4 linked regions of the Drosophila melanogaster genome follow. The protein of the gene in region 1 purifies or fractionates together with the protein of each later gene. This does not show direct contact. Each region holds a gene or a part of one and is shown in the gene's direction. Other genes may lie near its edges. The genes, in order: CG9581, Gbp2, CG17032 and TwdlE.

Evidence for each region.
Region 2: the proteins of CG9581 (region 1) and Gbp2 purify together in Drosophila melanogaster (affinity purification with mass spectrometry, with the first as the bait; one large-scale study listed by BioGRID). This does not show direct contact.
Region 3: the proteins of CG9581 (region 1) and CG17032 purify together in Drosophila melanogaster (affinity purification with mass spectrometry, with the first as the bait; one large-scale study listed by BioGRID). This does not show direct contact.
Region 4: the proteins of CG9581 (region 1) and TwdlE purify together in Drosophila melanogaster (affinity purification with mass spectrometry, with the first as the bait; one large-scale study listed by BioGRID). This does not show direct contact.

What each region holds. Positions count from the first base shown.
Region 1 is NC_004354.4:20,167,542-20,171,616, reverse strand, and holds CG9581 (uncharacterized protein), read left to right. Parts: upstream 1-1,635; 5' UTR 1,636-1,771; coding exon 1,772-2,143; intron 2,144-2,200; coding exon 2,201-3,466; 3' UTR 3,467-3,575; downstream 3,576-4,075. Other genes in the region: AnxB10 (annexin B10), read left to right, coding at 1-25; CG9578 (uncharacterized protein), read right to left, coding at 239-487, 552-771, 859-1,193, 1,254-1,268; CG9577 (uncharacterized protein), read right to left, coding at 3,637-3,735, 3,802-4,075.
Region 2 is NT_033778.4:17,135,564-17,140,132, forward strand, and holds Gbp2 (Growth-blocking peptide 2), read left to right. Parts: upstream 1-1,676; 5' UTR 1,677-1,728; coding exon 1,729-1,850; intron 1,851-1,927; coding exon 1,928-3,176; 3' UTR 3,177-4,032; downstream 4,033-4,569. Other genes in the region: Gbp1 (Growth-blocking peptide 1), read left to right, coding at 935-1,291; CG43103 (uncharacterized protein), read right to left, coding at 4,076-4,309.
Region 3 is NT_037436.4:15,956,870-15,961,167, forward strand, and holds CG17032 (uncharacterized protein), read left to right. Parts: upstream 1-1,973; 5' UTR 1,974-2,396; coding exon 2,397-2,514; intron 2,515-2,818; coding exon 2,819-3,639; 3' UTR 3,640-3,740; downstream 3,741-4,298. Other genes in the region: elgi (early girl), read left to right, coding at 54-196, 270-714, 770-935, 998-1,101; Brr2 U5 snRNP complex subunit, read right to left, coding at 4,125-4,298.
Region 4 is NT_033779.5:7,857,449-7,862,510, reverse strand, and holds TwdlE (TweedleE), read left to right. Parts: upstream 1-1,671; 5' UTR 1,672-1,810; coding exon 1,811-1,828; intron 1,829-1,909; coding exon 1,910-2,130; intron 2,131-2,390; exon of another isoform or gene 2,391-3,586; coding exon 3,587-3,941; 3' UTR 3,942-4,554; downstream 4,555-5,062.

The sequences.
Region 1 (4,075 bases):
GACAGCCCTACTTGGATCCGCCTAGGCCCGAGGATGTGGCAGCTGGTCCGCCCAATATTTTATTCGTGTTAATAGCTTTGATCGTAGTGTGCCTTTTAGGAAAATCGCTTTTAATGTCGTCTGCGCATGCGCACACTGTTGGCAATAAATAAACGCATATAGCAGCAGTTGTAACCAATGCGACGACTGACATAAACCTAGAGATCTGGGATCTGGCATCTAGCATCGGACATCGGGACTACTTAAAGAAGAGCTTGTGCAACTGCTTGGACTTCACGGGCACAAATTCTTGCATTTCATCCGGGTTGGTCCAGAAGGCCACACAGTTTTGAAGCTCAGTGCAAGGCGCCTCCCGATGGATGTACTCTTTCAGGATAAAGTCGTTCTCGATCTCGTGGTGGAAGCGGGTGTCGTGCATCCGGATTAGCACGTGGTCCACGCGCAGAAAGTGGCGCAAAAGGATGAAGAAGCCAGAGGGCATCACGCGCTGTGCCAGAAAGAGTTGGGCTTCTTCGATAAGGGCTCTATAATTTGTATTTATCAGCACTTACGATTCGCACGCTCATCACCGATATTCCGTGGTCGTGCAGCTCATCCTCGAACAGAGTTAAATCGTGGTAGAAGATGATGTTCTCGCGCTGCATCAGCTTGAACTTGTTCAGCGTCTGATTCGTGGTCTCCGATCGCACTTTTTCGTTCATGGTGCCCTGGTAGGTGGAGGTGAATGTCCAGTCGAAAGGCTTGAACTTCTCCTCCATTGTCTGCTCGTTACTGGAGTATAGAATTCAATCATTTGGGCGATTTATAGAGGAACAACAGTAGAACGATCCATATCCCAATCTCAATGGGAGTACCCACCGCGTTTCCCGCCACTCCTGAGCACAAGCGACCTCCAGCGGCTGCTTCCCATTGTCCACCAGCGCCAGCGCGTCCATGGGGCAGAACTCGAGAGTGGCGCCGTCCTTGTGCTGTAACACCAGCCGATTCTTGTGGAACACCATGTCGGGCAGGTGGGGCAGCTGCAGGGAGTGCTGGTAGTGGCAGAGGTCGCAGCGGTCGGCCGAGTCCTTGGGACAGCACTTGGCGGTGCCCAGTTGGCAGCTGCTCTTCAGGATGTGCGACTTCTCATACTTGATGGCCCAGTCGTGGAACTGGATGAACTCGCTGTCCACCGGCAGCCGGGGCACAAAGCACTGCAGGACGGGATTACATTGAGTGTTTGGCCATTGGAACTGGGCTATACCAACACATACCTCCTCCATGGACATTCTAAAGATATGTCAAATGATTTCAAAGTGTCTGTCTAAGTCGAAAATACTGTTCCAAAGCCCCCTATTGATCCTGTTAAAAATTTTTGTTATTATGTTAGGGATGCCAATGTCGATTACTTCTAAAGCTTAGCGGCGGTACTATCGAGGTTTTTCGATTGCAGCGCAATATTTAAATGCTATGGGGCGAAAGCAATCAAGTTGGCGTACTTGAGTGGATTCATAAGCTTATATAAGCCGTGGTTGTACACAATTCGAAATGAATCGCGTTTTTTGAAAGCTGCTATAGGTAAGGCGAAACTACATTCACATAGTTGTATAATTTTACAACGATAGTTATCGACATCTGTCAATCGGCGGGACTCTTGTTAAGCAATCGTCTGGCAACCCATGTGTTTTGTTTTTATCCAGGATCGTTAGTGTTTTTAACAGTTCCGTTTTCTGATGTGTATAATATTGTGAAGATTTTAGTTGGCAACCCAAGAACCGGAACCGGCAGCACGATGAATATCCTAAGGCGCCTGGACCGCCTGATCGCTCCCACCGTCCGCCGCAGCGCCGCCATTTCCACCAGCCTGTGGCCACACCGCTGGATGAGCCAGTCCACCACGATCTCCCCAGGAAGTCCCAGCAGCAAATCGACAGTAAACGCGGCCGAGGTGCGTGGCGTGGCTCAGATTCTGCGCCAGCAAAAGGGAAACCTGGGACAGCCCACCAGCGTCTCGCATCCACATCTTATCCAGCCGGACGAGCTGGTTCCGGGCGTGGAGCTGACCGAGATCAAGGAACGCCGTTCGCAGCTGATGCAAAACATCCGCGCCTATGCACGCAGTTTCGGCGGCGAGTTCAATGGGCACTCGAGTTCTTGTCACATGGTGAGGACCTGCAGGCTACAAAGAGAAGCAAAATATATAAACTTGAATCTCTGACAGCTCGTTCTGGGCGCCGCCTCCAAGAAGTATATGAGCGGCAAGATCCCGTACGTGTTCCGCCAGAACTCGGACTTCTACTACCTAACTGGCTGCCTAGAGCCGGACGCCGTGCTACTGCTGACCATCGACGAGGCCCAGAACGTGCAGTCCGAGCTGTTTATGCGTCCCAAGGACCCGCATGCCGAGCTGTGGGATGGTCCGCGCACTGGGCCCGAGCTCGCGGTGCCGCTTTTCGGAGTCACTGAGGCCCATCCGCTGTCCCAGCTGGAGGCGGTGCTGGCCAAGCGCGCAGGCGCCCTAAAACCACACATCTGGTTCGATCAGAAGAGCACCGACCTGCCGTCCCTGGCGGAGAACATGCTGCGATTGAGCGGCAATCAGCAGCGTCCGCTGCTGCCGGCCTACACTTTCCTAGAAGCCATGCGCCTGCTTAAGTCCCGCGACGAGATGCAGTTAATGCGGCGCACCTGCGACATAGCCTCACGCTCGTTCAACGAAGTGATGGCCGAGACCCGGCCAGGTCAGTCGGAGCACCATCTGTTCGCCGCGATTGACTACAAGTGCCGCATGCGCAACGCCAGCTACCTGGCCTACCCGCCGGTGGTGGCTGCCGGTAAAAACGCCACGGTGATCCACTACGTGGCCAACAGCCAGTTGTTGGGTCAGCAGGATCTCGTGCTGATGGACGCCGGCTGCGAGTATGGCGGCTACACCAGCGACATCACACGCACCTGGCCGGCGAGTGGGGTTTTCACGGAGCCGCAGCGCACACTGTACGACATGCTGCACCAGCTGCAGGAGGAGATTATTGGCAACGTGATGAAGCCGGGCGGCGAGACGCTCGACCAGCTGTTCGAGACCACCTGCTACAAGCTGGGCAAGTACTTGCAGGAGATCGGGCTGGTGGGCAAGTCGTTCAGCGAGTACAAGGAACTGGTCAGCCAGGGCTACCGCTTCTGTCCGCACCACGTCTCCCACTACCTTGGGATGGACGTGCACGACACACCGCACGTGCCACGCAACACACGCATCGTGCCCGGCATGGTCTTCACCGTTGAGCCGGGCATCTACATTGGCCAGGATTGCGGCGACGTGCCGCCCGAGTTCCGGGGCATCGGCATCCGCATCGAAGACGATCTGCTCATCAACGAGAACGGCCACGTGGAAGTTCTAACTGAGGCGTGCGTCAAGGATCCACGCGCCCTGCAGGAGCTTTGCAAACAGCAACAGAAGAACCCCGGTGCCTCATCCGCGGAGGCGTTTTAAGAGCTCACAACGAAAACCAAATTCCTAGTCATAAGCCTTTCATTCTCCCGACAACCTTATGAGCTGATTTGGGTCCTAAAGTAAAGGCAGATGCTGTATTTATAAATGCACACATGGCAAATACATTTTAAATTCTGTCAGATTGCAGATTACATATTACAGGTTACCGATCACAGCTTGGCGAACACTGGCTTATCGTCCTTCGTCAACTGGGCGGCCACAGCCTGGGCGAAGTCCTCCGACAGCAGGTTGAGCTTGTTCAGCAGGAGCTGCAAGGTGTGAGGCGTGAGGCGTGGTTAGCTCGTGCAAATTCGTTGAGATATTAGGATACCCACAATGTGATCCAAGCCCTCTTGATTGGTGTGCTCCAGGGAGTACACGAGGCTCTCCTTGGTTGTCTTTACGGCGACGGGACTCTTGCTAGCGATGAGCTCGGCCACGGCCAGGGCTCCGGTCAGCAGGGAATCCTTGTCTGGGAAGAGGCGACTCACCAGGCCCGAGGAGTGGGCCTCGGCGGCCTCGAATTTGCGCCCAGTGAAGCACAGCTCGCGGGCGAGGGACTGACTGCCCACTGCCTTGGGCAGACGCTGCAGGGTGCCCACGTCGGCG
Region 2 (4,569 bases), on another chromosome or scaffold:
ATTTTATAGTATCTACGACGGGATGAATATCTTAGGGTCTTAGAAACTGCTATAAATTCTTAAAAATTGAACCTCCACAGATTTAGAACTTAGTGCGATATTGAATGAAGTGAATGTGTTTACTTGAGCTTCCTTTTAAAGTTATCCTCTCGAAGTGAATCCGAATCTGAATCAGAAAGTGAGACAGAGCCGGAAACTGAGACTTCAGAGACTCTGTCGATTGCAAATAAACAAAACCAACTTTACGATGGCAATTACGCGGCGTCTTCCCTGGCCGAAGATGCTATTTTTGTTTGTCTGGCTGTGTCTGGCATTGGATACAAATCGTGCAGCTCGAGTGTCTAGCGATCAGTTTGCGTTTCCCTCAGAGTCAGATAATACGAAACCAACCATTGCTAGCGATTCCACTAGTTTGGGTATTGAGCCTAGAATTGTCCTGGAAACAACGCGAATTTGTCCAAACGGCACTACTCTGACAGTAAAAGATCGTTGCCGGAAAATTGCCTAGATTAGAGCCATAAAAGTGGAAAGAAGTGAGAATTAATTGACAAAAATGTAAGAAATAAATTCAAAAGTATTGAGTGTAAATTATTGCATTGCAAATCAACAAAAAAAAAAAAAAACGTTCGAAATAGCTGGGCACCAACATATTTCATTAAAAAAAAGCTTTATGATAATTCAGTTCTGTCAGTGTAGACTAGCTGAGATATATCTGAAAAGCTTAACGCTACTCTTCTGCTTTGTTTACGTTTTGTTTTCATGGGAGAGCTTATGAGCTCCCTTGCCATTCTTATTGTTGTCTCCCAACGATTTGCTCCCATCATTTATCTGGTTTCGCTGGGAATGAAAATCTGAATGTAAATGGCCAGCCAGTTGTTTCCGCGCTCAGTCATCGAAGCTTCATCGTAGCAAACGAGCGTGCATCTCGGAGATAATGTTGATACGTATTAATCCATTGGTGCTGTGCATCCTACCGCTGGTCTTCCTCCTCACCGAGGCGAGAACACGGCCCAGTGGTAACGATCGCATCGTTTTTCCAAAGGATGACGACGATACCAGCTCGAGATTCACATACTCGACCACAACGACAACTGAGGAACCCGCATCCACAATAGCACTCCGTTTGGAAAGTACAAACAGCACAGAACAGATCACCAGCGGATCGGAGGAGCTGGTTAATGAAAACACCACTGTGCTGCCAGTTATAGACAACCGAATATTGCTGGAGACGACCCAAAAATGTAAGCCTGGCTTTGAGCTGTTCGGAAAACGATGCAGAAAGCCGGCGTAATCTGTAGTCGCTAAGATTGATGTTAGCCAATAAAGTGATATTTGTGTAGAACTTTTGATTGATTAATGGTTTTTTCGGTGACTATTATAAACGATTCGGAGGCAGACAAAAATACCCATAGAAAACCCAAATCACAATTGTGGGAGAAACGCTATTGGGGGAAACTTAGCGTCGTGTAAAACGCAGTAATTTTAGTTTGGTGGCCATCACTGTGAGTCAGTGTCTAACTCAAACAATTCCCGGTGCATTCAGCTGCATCAGTTATTCCCTACTCTTCTGCTATGTAATTTGATGCCTTATCTGCTGTCATGAACTTGGCTTATCAGCGGCTCATAATAAATACTAAACTCGGTTAGATCGTCTGTTCTCGACTCGACAGCGCTGCTCAGTCTGTTTTGAATATTCAACGCTGCCGTTGGGTCGATTTCGTGTCGAAAATGTTTTTGCAACTCTTATCTATAAGGTTGGCTATGTCACTGATCCTTTTAATCAGTGGACAATGGACTTCAGCTCGTCCCCAGAATCCTTACTACGTGGAAAACGGCGGACATGGATATCCGTGAGTATTTAAAATTAATTAATAAGATTGTTATGATTTTATAATATTTGTATCACTAATACTTTTTTTCTATTAAGGAACCATCATCGCCACCATGGTCATCACGTACATGGGTCAGGATATGGCCCAGGATCCATTGGACCACCTCCCTTTGTCTTCGGTCGTTTTCCACCGCCTCCTTCGTATTATCCAGATAATCAACCATCAGGAGGTCGTCAACCGTATTATCCGAACGTCGGTGCAGTTCAAGGACAACCTGGCAGTCAATTTCACCAACATGGAGGTGGTTTTCATAGAGGACAACAGGAATATCCCTACCCTGTAGGTGATTTTAACAGGGGACATCCAGGCCTCCAGCAACCGGGTGGAGATTTCAACAGGGGCCAACCAGGTTTTCAGCAGCCAGGAAATGAATTCAATAGACCACAACCATCTGGAAGGGCGCCAGGACATCAACAATCTGGCAGCCATGAGGAGCTACCCACCTACCCTCGAGGATTGGAACCCCAGCAGCCGGGTGGTGATCCAAATACCCTACAGCCTCGACCTGGCCAAAACCCTGGTGGATTCGAACAGCCAAATGAAAATGCTGGCGGATTCCAACAGTCAGGCCAAAATAATGGGGGGTTCCGGCAACCAAGCCAAAATTCTGGAGGATTCCAACAGCCAGGCCAGAGTACTGGAGGATTCCAGCAACCAGGCCAGAGTTCTGGGGGATTCCAACAGCCAGGCCAGAGTACTGGGGGATTCCAACAGCCAGGCCAGAGTACTGGAGGATTCCAACAGCCAGGCCAGAGTACTGGAGGATTCCGGCAGCCAGACCAGAGTTCTGGAGGATTCCAACAACCAGACCAGAATTCTGGAGAGTTTCAACAACCAGGTCTAAACCAGGGACGGAAACCTGGTACTTCTAATAATTCCATACAACCGCGTCCCGGAAGCGCAGATGAAGACTTTTCCGACTTCAATTTCCAGTCCCCCAAGACTTTGCAGCCTCGACCCGGCCAGGATTACGAAACTGCGGGATCTGGCGGAGCGCAGACAATTCAACCGATTCCCGGGCATCCGCAGTCTTCTGTGATCCAACCTATTCCAGGGCGAGCTCAATCTTCTGACAATGTTGACCAAAACATCAACGACCTCTTCAACACCCATGATTTTCTGTCACCAGAATTGAGCACAGCGCCTGGAGCCAACCGAGATCCCAAGTCGGATGCTGAGGAAGCAAGTCCAGAGTCGGTAAATCAGCGCAGTCTCTTCAACCTGGATCCCAAGTGTGCAGAAGGACTCAAGCTCATGGCAGGACGTTGCAGGAAGGAAGCCTAGGGAATTCGGATTCAAATGAAATTCTGATTAATACTGTTTCATGTTCACAATACATATTTCATTGTGTCATTAAATCTGTCATTATGTGTAATAATTGAGACATACAATTTTTGGGGCATTTTATTCAACTGATAAGGTTGTTTATGCAAGATTGGAAGTACAAATTTCCCAGAGATTACCTCAGCATGCTCTTCGGTAAAAAAATGACTTCGTAGTAGCTTACGTATACCACTGTAACAGCTTTTGAACATCACAAATTGTATTAATCAGCTGAATGCAATTAAGCTGCAATACGTTATCATTTTTCTTGAAATATATCAATTTAGAAAACGTTATCTCTACAATATTGAATTACAGTTGTATAATTACAAAGCTGTGTGTAATTGGTTACATTGACTAATCAAATAAATGGAATGCGCATTTTTATCAATATCTTGAAGAGCACACACATAACAGGGAAAATCCCTACATAAAAGCTAACTTTTTTGATCGCCGTAGAACATTAGTTTTGAAGCGATTGTTGTACGAAGTGCATTGTATGGAAATGGCGCTCCAACTTAAAAGATGGCTATATCTGATCACTTGGACGGCGATACAACTACTTCTTCAAGTGGAAAAGAAATGCTCGCCTGGTTTTCAACTGTACCTAGATCGATGCCGAAAACCAGCGTAAACAGATAAAATATAACAATGTTATTAAACAATATTTCATCAGTGCCAACAATCAGTTGATTAACTTTAATGAACCTGTACTTATATAAACCGAATGTGTCGTATTTTTTAAATATGTATGTGAGAATTGCAAGTATTTATATAGAATTTATTTAAGTATCAATAAAAACACAGCTTGTAGCACGTTCTGATATTGAACTTTAAATCGATCTTCAGAGCTTGTCTTCCTAGGCTATCCTACGACACGTGTGATGTGGACCCGTGCGTATGTACCCCTTGGGACACAGCGATGGATCGATGTTGAAGATGCTCTGCACCAAAATATCCGAGGCTCCCGGTATATCGGGCTGACTAATAGATACTCCGCTGGGTTGGTTCTTCGGAAGGGGCGGCATGGCCATCGTCCACTGCCAGCTCAGCATTAGTAGGCCTACTACGATCAGCACGGATCTTGATAGCATCTTCGCGGTTTTCTCCAGGTGACTCGACTACTAGCCTCCGGCTTGGGAACTGCGTTACTGAATCTAGCTTGGCTTATATGTTGCTGATTTCTCAGTCTAAAGCTGGCAAAGCTTTTATCTGGAGGGCTTTCGGAGAGATTGCGAAAGCCAAAGCCACTCTCTCTGATCGTTTTTAAAAGACAATACTTAAAATTTACCAAATGTATTAACTTGACCAGTAAATATTGGTTAGCCATCAGTACATACATATGCGGAGAAAC
Region 3 (4,298 bases), on another chromosome or scaffold:
CGAATCATACATATGCTTTAAATACAAACAATCATACATATCTACCGATTCAGGCCGTGATGTGCGAGCACGCCTTCTGCCGCGGATGCATTAACGAGTGGCTAACCCGCCAGCCCACTTGTCCGGTGGATCGAAATTCCCTGACTACTGCCAACTTGCGGGCAGTGCCTCGCATATTGCGCAACCTACTGTCCAGGTGAGAAAAACCCAACGCCTTCTACTCTGTGAACCTTGTGGACTCTAACTAATCTTTGACCCTTGCCAACCAGACTGTCAATCACCTGTGACAATGCGCCTTATGGCTGCACGGCTGTTCTCAAGCTAGACGCCTACAATTCCCATTTGGACGAATGCATTCACAATCCGAAGCGACCATTTCCCTGCGAGAAGGGATGCGGCTTTGACATACCCAAGGATGAGCTAAAGGACCACAACTGCGTGCGGGAGCTGCGCACTTTAATTGTCAAGCAGACGGAAAAAATGGGTGAGCTCAAATCGGAGCTCACCGACCAGCAGCTGACTATCAACGAACTGAAGCGCGAGCTGCAGCTATTCAAGGACTTTATGCGTGCCATGCGCGTCTCCAATCCTGCGATGCGGGCCATAGCCGACCAGATGGAGCGCGACGAGGTGATCCGCTGGAGCAGCACACTGCCCCGGGCCAGGGTTACGCGCTGGGGGGGAATGATCTCTACGCCCGACGATGCACTGCAGGTGAAGCCCAAATTCTAAATTTTTTTAAAACGTTAACTCACTTTTCATTTGATAGCTCATGATCAAGCGCGCTTTGTCCGAGTCGGGCTGTCCGCCACACATCCTGGATAGTCTTATGGAGTTCTGCCACGAGCGACGTTGGCCCCGTGGGCTCAGTTCGCTAGAGACACGTCAAACCAATCGTAGGATCTACGACAACTATGTGTGTCGACGCATTCCAGGTAACAATTTTAAACATAAATATTAACAACAAGGCTTTATCTTTAAACTTACTCTTCCGCAGGCAAGCAAGCTGTGCTCGTTTTGAGCTGCGACAACCTCCACATGACTGAGGACGTCATGATCGATCCAGGTTTGGTCATGATCTTCGCCCATGGCATCGAGTAGGCCCTCAGCCGCTGATTAACCACTTATCCTAGGTTAAATGCTAACTATATCGAACAGTGCTCAGTTTTGTTGATTCCTTAACGTAAGAGTAAGCATTAAAAACAATATTGTAAGGAAAAACTCGCAAAACAAACCATTCAAGCGCCTCATGACGACTTTCAAGTTGTACAAAAAATATATATTACTTTCGGTTCATTGTGTTTTATCCATTTAGTTAGTACGCAAATTCGTATACATCATCAAGTCGTTCGCATATACCCAATATTACATGTTTGATTAAGCGATCTCAACAAATGTCCCTTTGTTATCGTTCACTTCATTCTCATTTTGATGGAAGGAAGCTGTGAATGTCCTAATTCGCGTTTAAATTCGTATTGCACAACTTACTTAAATTTCTGAAATATTTGTCAATACTTTTAGATTAAATGTGGAAAGAGTAATAAACAGTTTATTTAACTAATGTATTCATGGAAGAATTTATTACTATAATAAACCATTTGCTTTTATAATTGATTTCTTTCAATTACGAATTTAAATTGTAATAGTATGTTACAACAAAATTCCATTTATTCATTTATTTAAGCACTCCCATGAATTATTTTTCTGAAAGATTGTCTAGCCTTTTAGATTAGAAATAGAAATAAAAGTGATTATTCCAACTAAACCGATAATTCTAGCCTCTTATCAGCTGAAAGGGCAGACAAGCGTCTGCCTTTGGAAATCCTACACAAATGTTCACTGGGATGCCCCCCACTTGCAAGCACCAACTCATTCGGGGAGATCTGTCCGCCTCCACTCTGTGGACCCGTAAAAGTTCTGGACAACATCTGTTTCCCGAAATGGAAATCGAAAAGCAACAAAAACCAAGCAGCAAGCAACCAAGCAACAAAATAAACAAAAGAAAACCAAACTAGTTCCTCCACGAGCTTTGGCCGCCAACCGGTTTCGGCTTTTGTACACCCGTTTTGTTTTTTTCCTACATAATACAACATTATACAAAGTTTGCATCGGTTACATGTGCCAAAAATCGTTGGATTATACAAGCCAGTTTTGGTTTTCAATTTTTTTCTTCGTATTTGCCGAACATCTTGAATATTGATAGAAGCAATTAGCGCCATCCAGACCAAAGGGGCAGCCCCCTACGGCGATTGAAAGTGAGAGTTGATCGGCCGATTGGCGGCGGAGCGGACAGGCTGAAATATATACATCCAACAGTTGATCGCGAAGCGGCGCAGCCAACGGACGTGTCCAGCTGCGATCTCCAGAAGGCAACCAATCTAATCGAAGAACACGAAATGAATGTATCAATTCCGGTGCTATTTGTGGCCCTCATCTGTCTGGCAGCTGCGTCGGCGTTTCCTCAACTGAGGCAGCGCAACGAGAAGCAGGTTCAAACCGGCGATGATGATTTGCGTAAGTAAAATTCTTAACGCTCGAAAATCTTACAATTCTTAGATTGTAAAACTTCCTAAATACATTTGGAAAATACTTTTCAAATCTGAAATTCTGTAAATATATATAAATACATATCTATCTATAAATTTTTGTGTATACATATGTACACATTCTGTAGTGCGAACAAAGCGTAAAATATTTAGTAAAATAATAGATTGCTCCGAATTTTTTAATAATAAGCTTGCCGATTATTCAGCTTCTATTAATTAAATTAAAATAAATATAAAATATTTTATAAAGTATATACCATTGCATTTTACAGCTTCCAAGGGCGCCACTATCGAGGAAGTAGTGGTGGAATCAGCCTTGTACATCAAACCGAAGTCTAATCCGCAGGTGCGTCGCGTCCGTTCGGTCCTGGATCAAATATCCGGAATCCAGGCCGCTCACAAGAGGGTGAAGCGTCAGTTTGGGCGACAATTTGGTGGTCAGTATGCTGGAAATCCCGGCTTCGGTGGCGGATTCGGTGGAGAGCCTGGTTTTGGAGGTGGATTCGGCGGTAATCAAGGATTTGGAGGCAACCAGGGATTCGGAGGTAATCAGGGTTTCGGCGGTAATCAGGAATTCGGCGGTAACCCAGGATTCGGAGGAAATCCCGGATTCGGCGGTAATCAAGGTGGAAAAGTTCAGGCAGGTACATCGGCCGGCGCTGGGGGAACCAAAGCGGGTGTTGATGTTGGTGCCGGACCAGATGGCGGCAATGCCAATGCCAACGTCGAGTTAAATCCGCTGGGACCACTCGGACCCAGTGGTTACAACCAGGAGCAGGCCGCATCCAACGGAGCTGCCCACAGCAACTACAACAATGGACTCAACTCAGGATCCTCGGCCGCCAGTGGGCAGGCTCAGGGCTTCCAGTCGCAGAGTGCCAATGGATCATTCGGTGCCTCCTCCGCAAGCACGGCCACTCAGTCCCAGAACACCAGCCCCTTTGGATCCAATAATGCGGCAGGTGCTTCGCTGAGTCAGGTTTACCATCTTCCCAATGGACAGACAATAAACTTTAGCTCCACGAACAGCTTCGCTAATGGAGGAGCCAATCGTGGCAGTAGCCATGGATCGGCAGTTTCTGTCAGCCGCTAAAAGCCAAGTTCACCATACAGGGAAAATACCTCCAAGTTAATCTATTTGTCAGCAATCCTATGTGCAAATATCTAAAAAATCCAAATAAATATTTATGATTGAATTGAATTTGAATGAATAATTTGAATGATTTTTTTAAAATCTAAACGGTTGCATTTTGATGATCCAGATTACAAATTACAACAAACTTGAATTGTTCCATACGAAATTTAAAAGCTTAAGACAATATAAGAATTGGCACTGTTGACTACAAAATATTTAGATTCTTGGTATCAACCAGCGAAAGAAAGTTGAAAGGTTTTTTTTATTTTGTTTTTTTTTTTTTTTGTACTACTTTATATAATTATCCTCAGTGTATCCTTGTACAATTTGGTTTCTACTAAAGTAGTACACGAATTTATTATTGCTACAATTAATGCGCGTAAATTGTAAAATGATTGATTTTCATTTGTGCAAACATGCCCAACTGATGATCCTAAAGAAAACTAATCTGACTCGCTTTCGCTTTCCGACTGGAAGTCACCCACTTCGATGGAAAACTTGTACTCCTGATCACAACCCAAATAGGAATCGCTCATGTAGTACAGAGTGTAGTCGTGTTTGCCCGGACTAGGTGCCACAAAGTCCAGCTTGACCTTTGCCTTTTGCTGCAGCGTGAG
Region 4 (5,062 bases), on another chromosome or scaffold:
GGGCTATGAGCCATGGAAAAGTTGCAAAACATTTTGCCAATCATAATTTTATCCATCACTCTTCTCTAACGCTAATTGTCATGGCCGGGGCGTAAATTATTAAATAAGAAAAGCAACCCAAAAACAACACTAAAACTTGCCAGAGATAAAAAAAAAAACAAATTGAAGAAATTCAAAATATTGCAAAAACAAAAAAACCAGAGGAGAAAAATTAAATAAAATGCCTGTACAGATGGGTCGACCCAACAAGAGCGTGAAGCTCATTATGAAGCTTCGTGTCCAAAACGCGGACAGCAATTACAAAAGCAACATAGCCAGTAAAACAATAACAATAACAGTAACAATAATAATAACAACAAGCCAGGCCAAGTCAACTCAAGCCAACACACAACACAACCCAAAACACCGAAAGAAGCTGGCTAACAAAAGGCCGAAAGAGCATGAAGAAATGAAATAAAACCAACACCAGATTCAGTCCCACTCCAGAGCACAAAACAAAGCTTAGCCCCATCCCATCTGATCCCAAACCATACCATACCATACTATACCAACCCATTCCCCAAAACGGCTGGCTAAATGAGAGTGAATCCACATTCATTGAAATTGAAAGTGAATCGTGCCACACGATCCGATCCAGAGTCCAGACTTGGTTACGAGTCCACTGCGATTGGATCCTCTAAATGACCAAAATAACAATTTACACACATTAGCTACATATATATAATAAAGCACATATATATATATATTTATATATAAATAACAGAAATCAGAGATTTTAGGAAAAACCATGTTTCTTTGGCAATCAGTTCGAAGGAGTTGTACTCTACAGCGAATCTATACAAATGTTTTAAATGGGCGAGGGAAAAAAATGCACAAGACATATTTATAAATTAAATATTACAAAATATGACTTGCCTTTAATAATTAAACTATCTAAGCTAAGAGAGGCATTTTCTTTTAATGATAAAAGAACAAAAGGCGTGATAAATTAATAATAAGAGAACAGATATTCTCAGATATTCTTAAATTAAGCAGGAAATCGTTAAAGCTGAGGTTACCGCAAAAAAGGCTTTTATTTTCTTGCCTTGAAAATAATGGACCCTTGAAATAAGCTACATTCCAGCAGCTAAGTGTCTTCAGAAATAAAAACCATAAAAAACTATTTGATGGCCTTGCTGCCTCAAGCTTTATTTTACATACATACACTGCACCTTTCAGGTTCCTTATTTTCCCCATGAAAATAATCCTAGTTGGGCAGAAAAACAGAAAAAAAAAAACAACCAACCACATGCTCGAAAAACCACGAAAAAGAAGTAGTTAATCGAAGGAGGAAAGCCAAAGCCAAGAAACGGTCAGCAGACGTTGCAGTTTCGGTTGGCTTTGCGGTCGCCGTTTGCATCGCAGCCAGGAGCTGCAGCCTCAGTTTCCCCACCAGATCATGACTGGCCAAACTTTGGACTTGGCTTAAACATTTCAATTTCTTCATGGCTACATGCTGCTGCCGCTCTTTGCCAACTGCTCAGCCAACTTGGCCGACTGCTCGGTCGACTGCGGCAGCAGCTGAGGCAGCTGAGGCGGCTAAAGCAGCAGCGGTCTTGATCGTCGTCTTGAATTTTACTTAATTTTTATTTCACGCGCTGCGCTGCTATAAAAGAAACTGCAACAATCGTTGTGGCATGCAGTAAGAGGTTCCGCGTCGAAGCAGCACCACATTGCCAGTAACCAGTAACCAGTAACAGCCAGTAGCACCTAGCCACCTGGAGCAGTGACAAAACCCGAAACGGATATACCCGAAATAAGCCACCCGAAAATGCATTCCAGTTGTGTGGTATGATCTTGTGACCAAACCGACCAAGTGGCCGTGATGGACATCGCTTAATGGTGTGTTCTCCTCCGATCTCGTTCGCAGTTAGTGGTCCTCATGGCCCTGGCTGCCCTGGTGGCCGCTCGTCCAGAGCCGCCTCGTGACTCGTACAGTGCGCCCCCCTCCAGCAGCTACCAGCCAAGTGGACCCAGCGGAGGCTACGGCGCCCCTGCGCCCCAGTACGGACCTCCCCAGCAGGCGCCGGTGATTCACAAGCACGTCTACGTCCATGTACCTCCACCAGAGCCGGAATACCAGGCACCCAGGTGAGTGGCAGGATCAAGGATCCTCTAAGCCAACATAAGTTCCAAAGATCGCGAGTAGAATAGGGTTCCCAATAAACCTATTCTTCAACCAAGTTCCGGAAAAGGATCTATGCATACTCGTTTAAAATTTTTGTCTATACTAGATGATAATTATATCAGACCTAAAAATGGAAAAAATCTTTAAAAATGTTATTTTAGACACATTCAGTTTAATCACAAAAGATACGTATTTAAGAGTTTAAGTAATAGTAAAATTATTTATTTTGCATAGTTTCACAAAATAGAAATCGCACTACACTCCCAACACAGTGAGTGAGTGAACAATCGAGAATTTCTTCTGATAAGCCGTACAATATAAACGTACATCCTGCGGTTTTTTTCATTTCACAACGTAATCAGTTCAAATTATTCACACCCCTTATCCAGCACACTTTTTTTTCGACTTGCGTGATTGTGAGCGGTTACAAACGATCTCGCTTTATTTGTCTTGTTCCACTTAAGATTGGAAAAATATGGGGAAAAAACACATTGTTGTGTTATGAGTATATAATCCAAGGCACTTATGCAGATTCTCTCACAATTCATCGGCGTAAACCAGGCAGTGCCGTCAACTCCCAAAGATAATAACTAGACAAATGTTGCAAGAGACCAGCCGGCAATCATCTAATCCAGCTCAGGGCCCTTTTCCACAGCTGTTGCCACATTTCCAGGGTATTTAGAGGGTCGCTTAAACGGAGGAGGAACATTATTTAATACCCGCGAAAACGAAAGCCATCCAACTTTCCTCTCTTTTCGCTGATACAATGTTTTCTGTCGTCTTCTGTCTGTTTTCAATTGGAGTTGGAAGCGATGTTAATTACCACGAGAGGGGAATGATATGGCTTTGCAGACCGCCAAACCGTGACTAAAACGTTACCTAAGCTCGCCGCAGCACTTGTACTCGTATATATCTCAGTACCATTTCCAAGCAAATTATCAGGCGCAGAGGGACAGGAACTCGATTACCATAGGTAGCTTTATGTAAACCCTCGTCTCGAGGCGGTTGTTGTGACAATCGCTGTCATCGTCACAATAGTCATCATCTTCATCTGATTAGTAAAACTGACAAGCAGCTGCAGTGGGTTCAACGTTGTCGGGAGGTCACCATTTTCGGGAGGTCACCATTTATGGGCATGCCATTTGCATGCACCTCAAAGAGAAACTCCTTTCTCCCGCATCGCGGTATTTGTTCGTTCAACAAGGCAAGGTTATAGGAAGTGTGGAAAGTCATTCCAGCCTGGCCGTGTGTAATTGAAATTTTTTTATTCAGTATGTAAATTTTTACAAGCCGGAAGCAAAAAAAGTTGCGTTATATGAGGATGTGGTGTCTTACTTTACCCATAGAATTCCTAAGAAATTCCTTAAATACAGATATAGCAGAACCTTTATTTAAATACATTTTTAAATATTTTCCCAGGAAACCCCTTTACGTGCCACCTCCGCAGAAGCACTACAAGATCGTCTTCATCAAGGCGCCATCTCCACCAGTACCGACCGCCCCTGTAATACCGCAGTTCCCACAGAACGAAGAGAAGACCCTGGTGTACGTGCTAGTCAAGAAGCCGGAGGAGCAGCCGGAGATCATTATCCCAACGCCAGCTCCCACCCAACCCAGCAAGCCGGAGGTGTACTTCATCCGCTACAAGACCCAGAAGGAGGAGACCGGACCCTATCCCAACAGTGTGGCGCCTCCAGCGCCCGAGTACGGAGCTCCAGCTGCCCCGCCCGCACCCTCTGCTCCCAGCAGCTCGTATGGGGCACCATCCCACTAGGCGATCCAGTCCAACCCGAATACCGATTTGCTTATCTCAACCCAACTCATGGCAAACTGCATATCTTATGTGTATTGTATTATTTTCTGTTTCAAGGACCTTAACGCGTGACAAAGTTTACCAAGCAACGAATCTCCCCCATCCCCTCTCCACACCCAGCTCATAGGATTATTACTCCTATAGATGAGTAATTCTTATCTCTGATGTTGTTTCTACCTGATGTACGAGAAGTATGTTTTCCATCTAGGCTGTTTGTTTCAAATTGTTTGTTTAGTCTTAAGTCTAGGTCTTTAAGCGAACGATGCGTTATACACTCACACAAAACACTCGAAACACTCACTGCGAGCTAGCCTTAGTTATCGATAGAGATATCGATCCTGATACCGATTAACGATATATACGTGGTACATGATTTTCATCACAAACGCATTTTCAAGTAGGCAATTTATTCCAATTTCATATTGCACATTTCGCACACGATTTGTCATTAAATAGAATGTGCGAAGCACTCGAAATGCAACAAAAAAAAATGAAGATTAAAATGATACTCAAGTATATAATGTTAAAAACACAAAACATCAATGGCTAAATAAAAGTTTAACGAATTATCTGTACAAGATGGATTTCTTTTTGTATGTTTCACATTGCAAGTCTTAACATATGTGTACATATATTTATATATATCTGTTTACTATACATTTTCATTTGCCTCGCAAATGTATTTGAAATCAGAAGTACAAGAAGCAACCCACATGCCACCGTTATGTATAGAAACGCAACGCTGATCTACATGTTCGTATAGTGGCTCTCCAGGATTCCATTTCAAAAAAGGTGCTCTCTTTCCGGAGGACACAGATATGAAAACGCCCTTTTCAGCCAGATCACTAATGCCAATCATATAAGTGTTGTCTTTGCTTAGTTGCGAAACGATAGCATTAAAGTCTGCTTCATTTATAATTGAGGCTAGATTACCTCCCATCTTTTGACATGCGCTCAAAGCACTGGTCCAATTTTGTTGGACTATGTCTTCGATGTGCAAATATCTCGATCCGATTCGCTTGAACCTATGTAAAATATTTATTTTCGCAGACATATTCTTCAGCGACGTCGTTATACTAGTC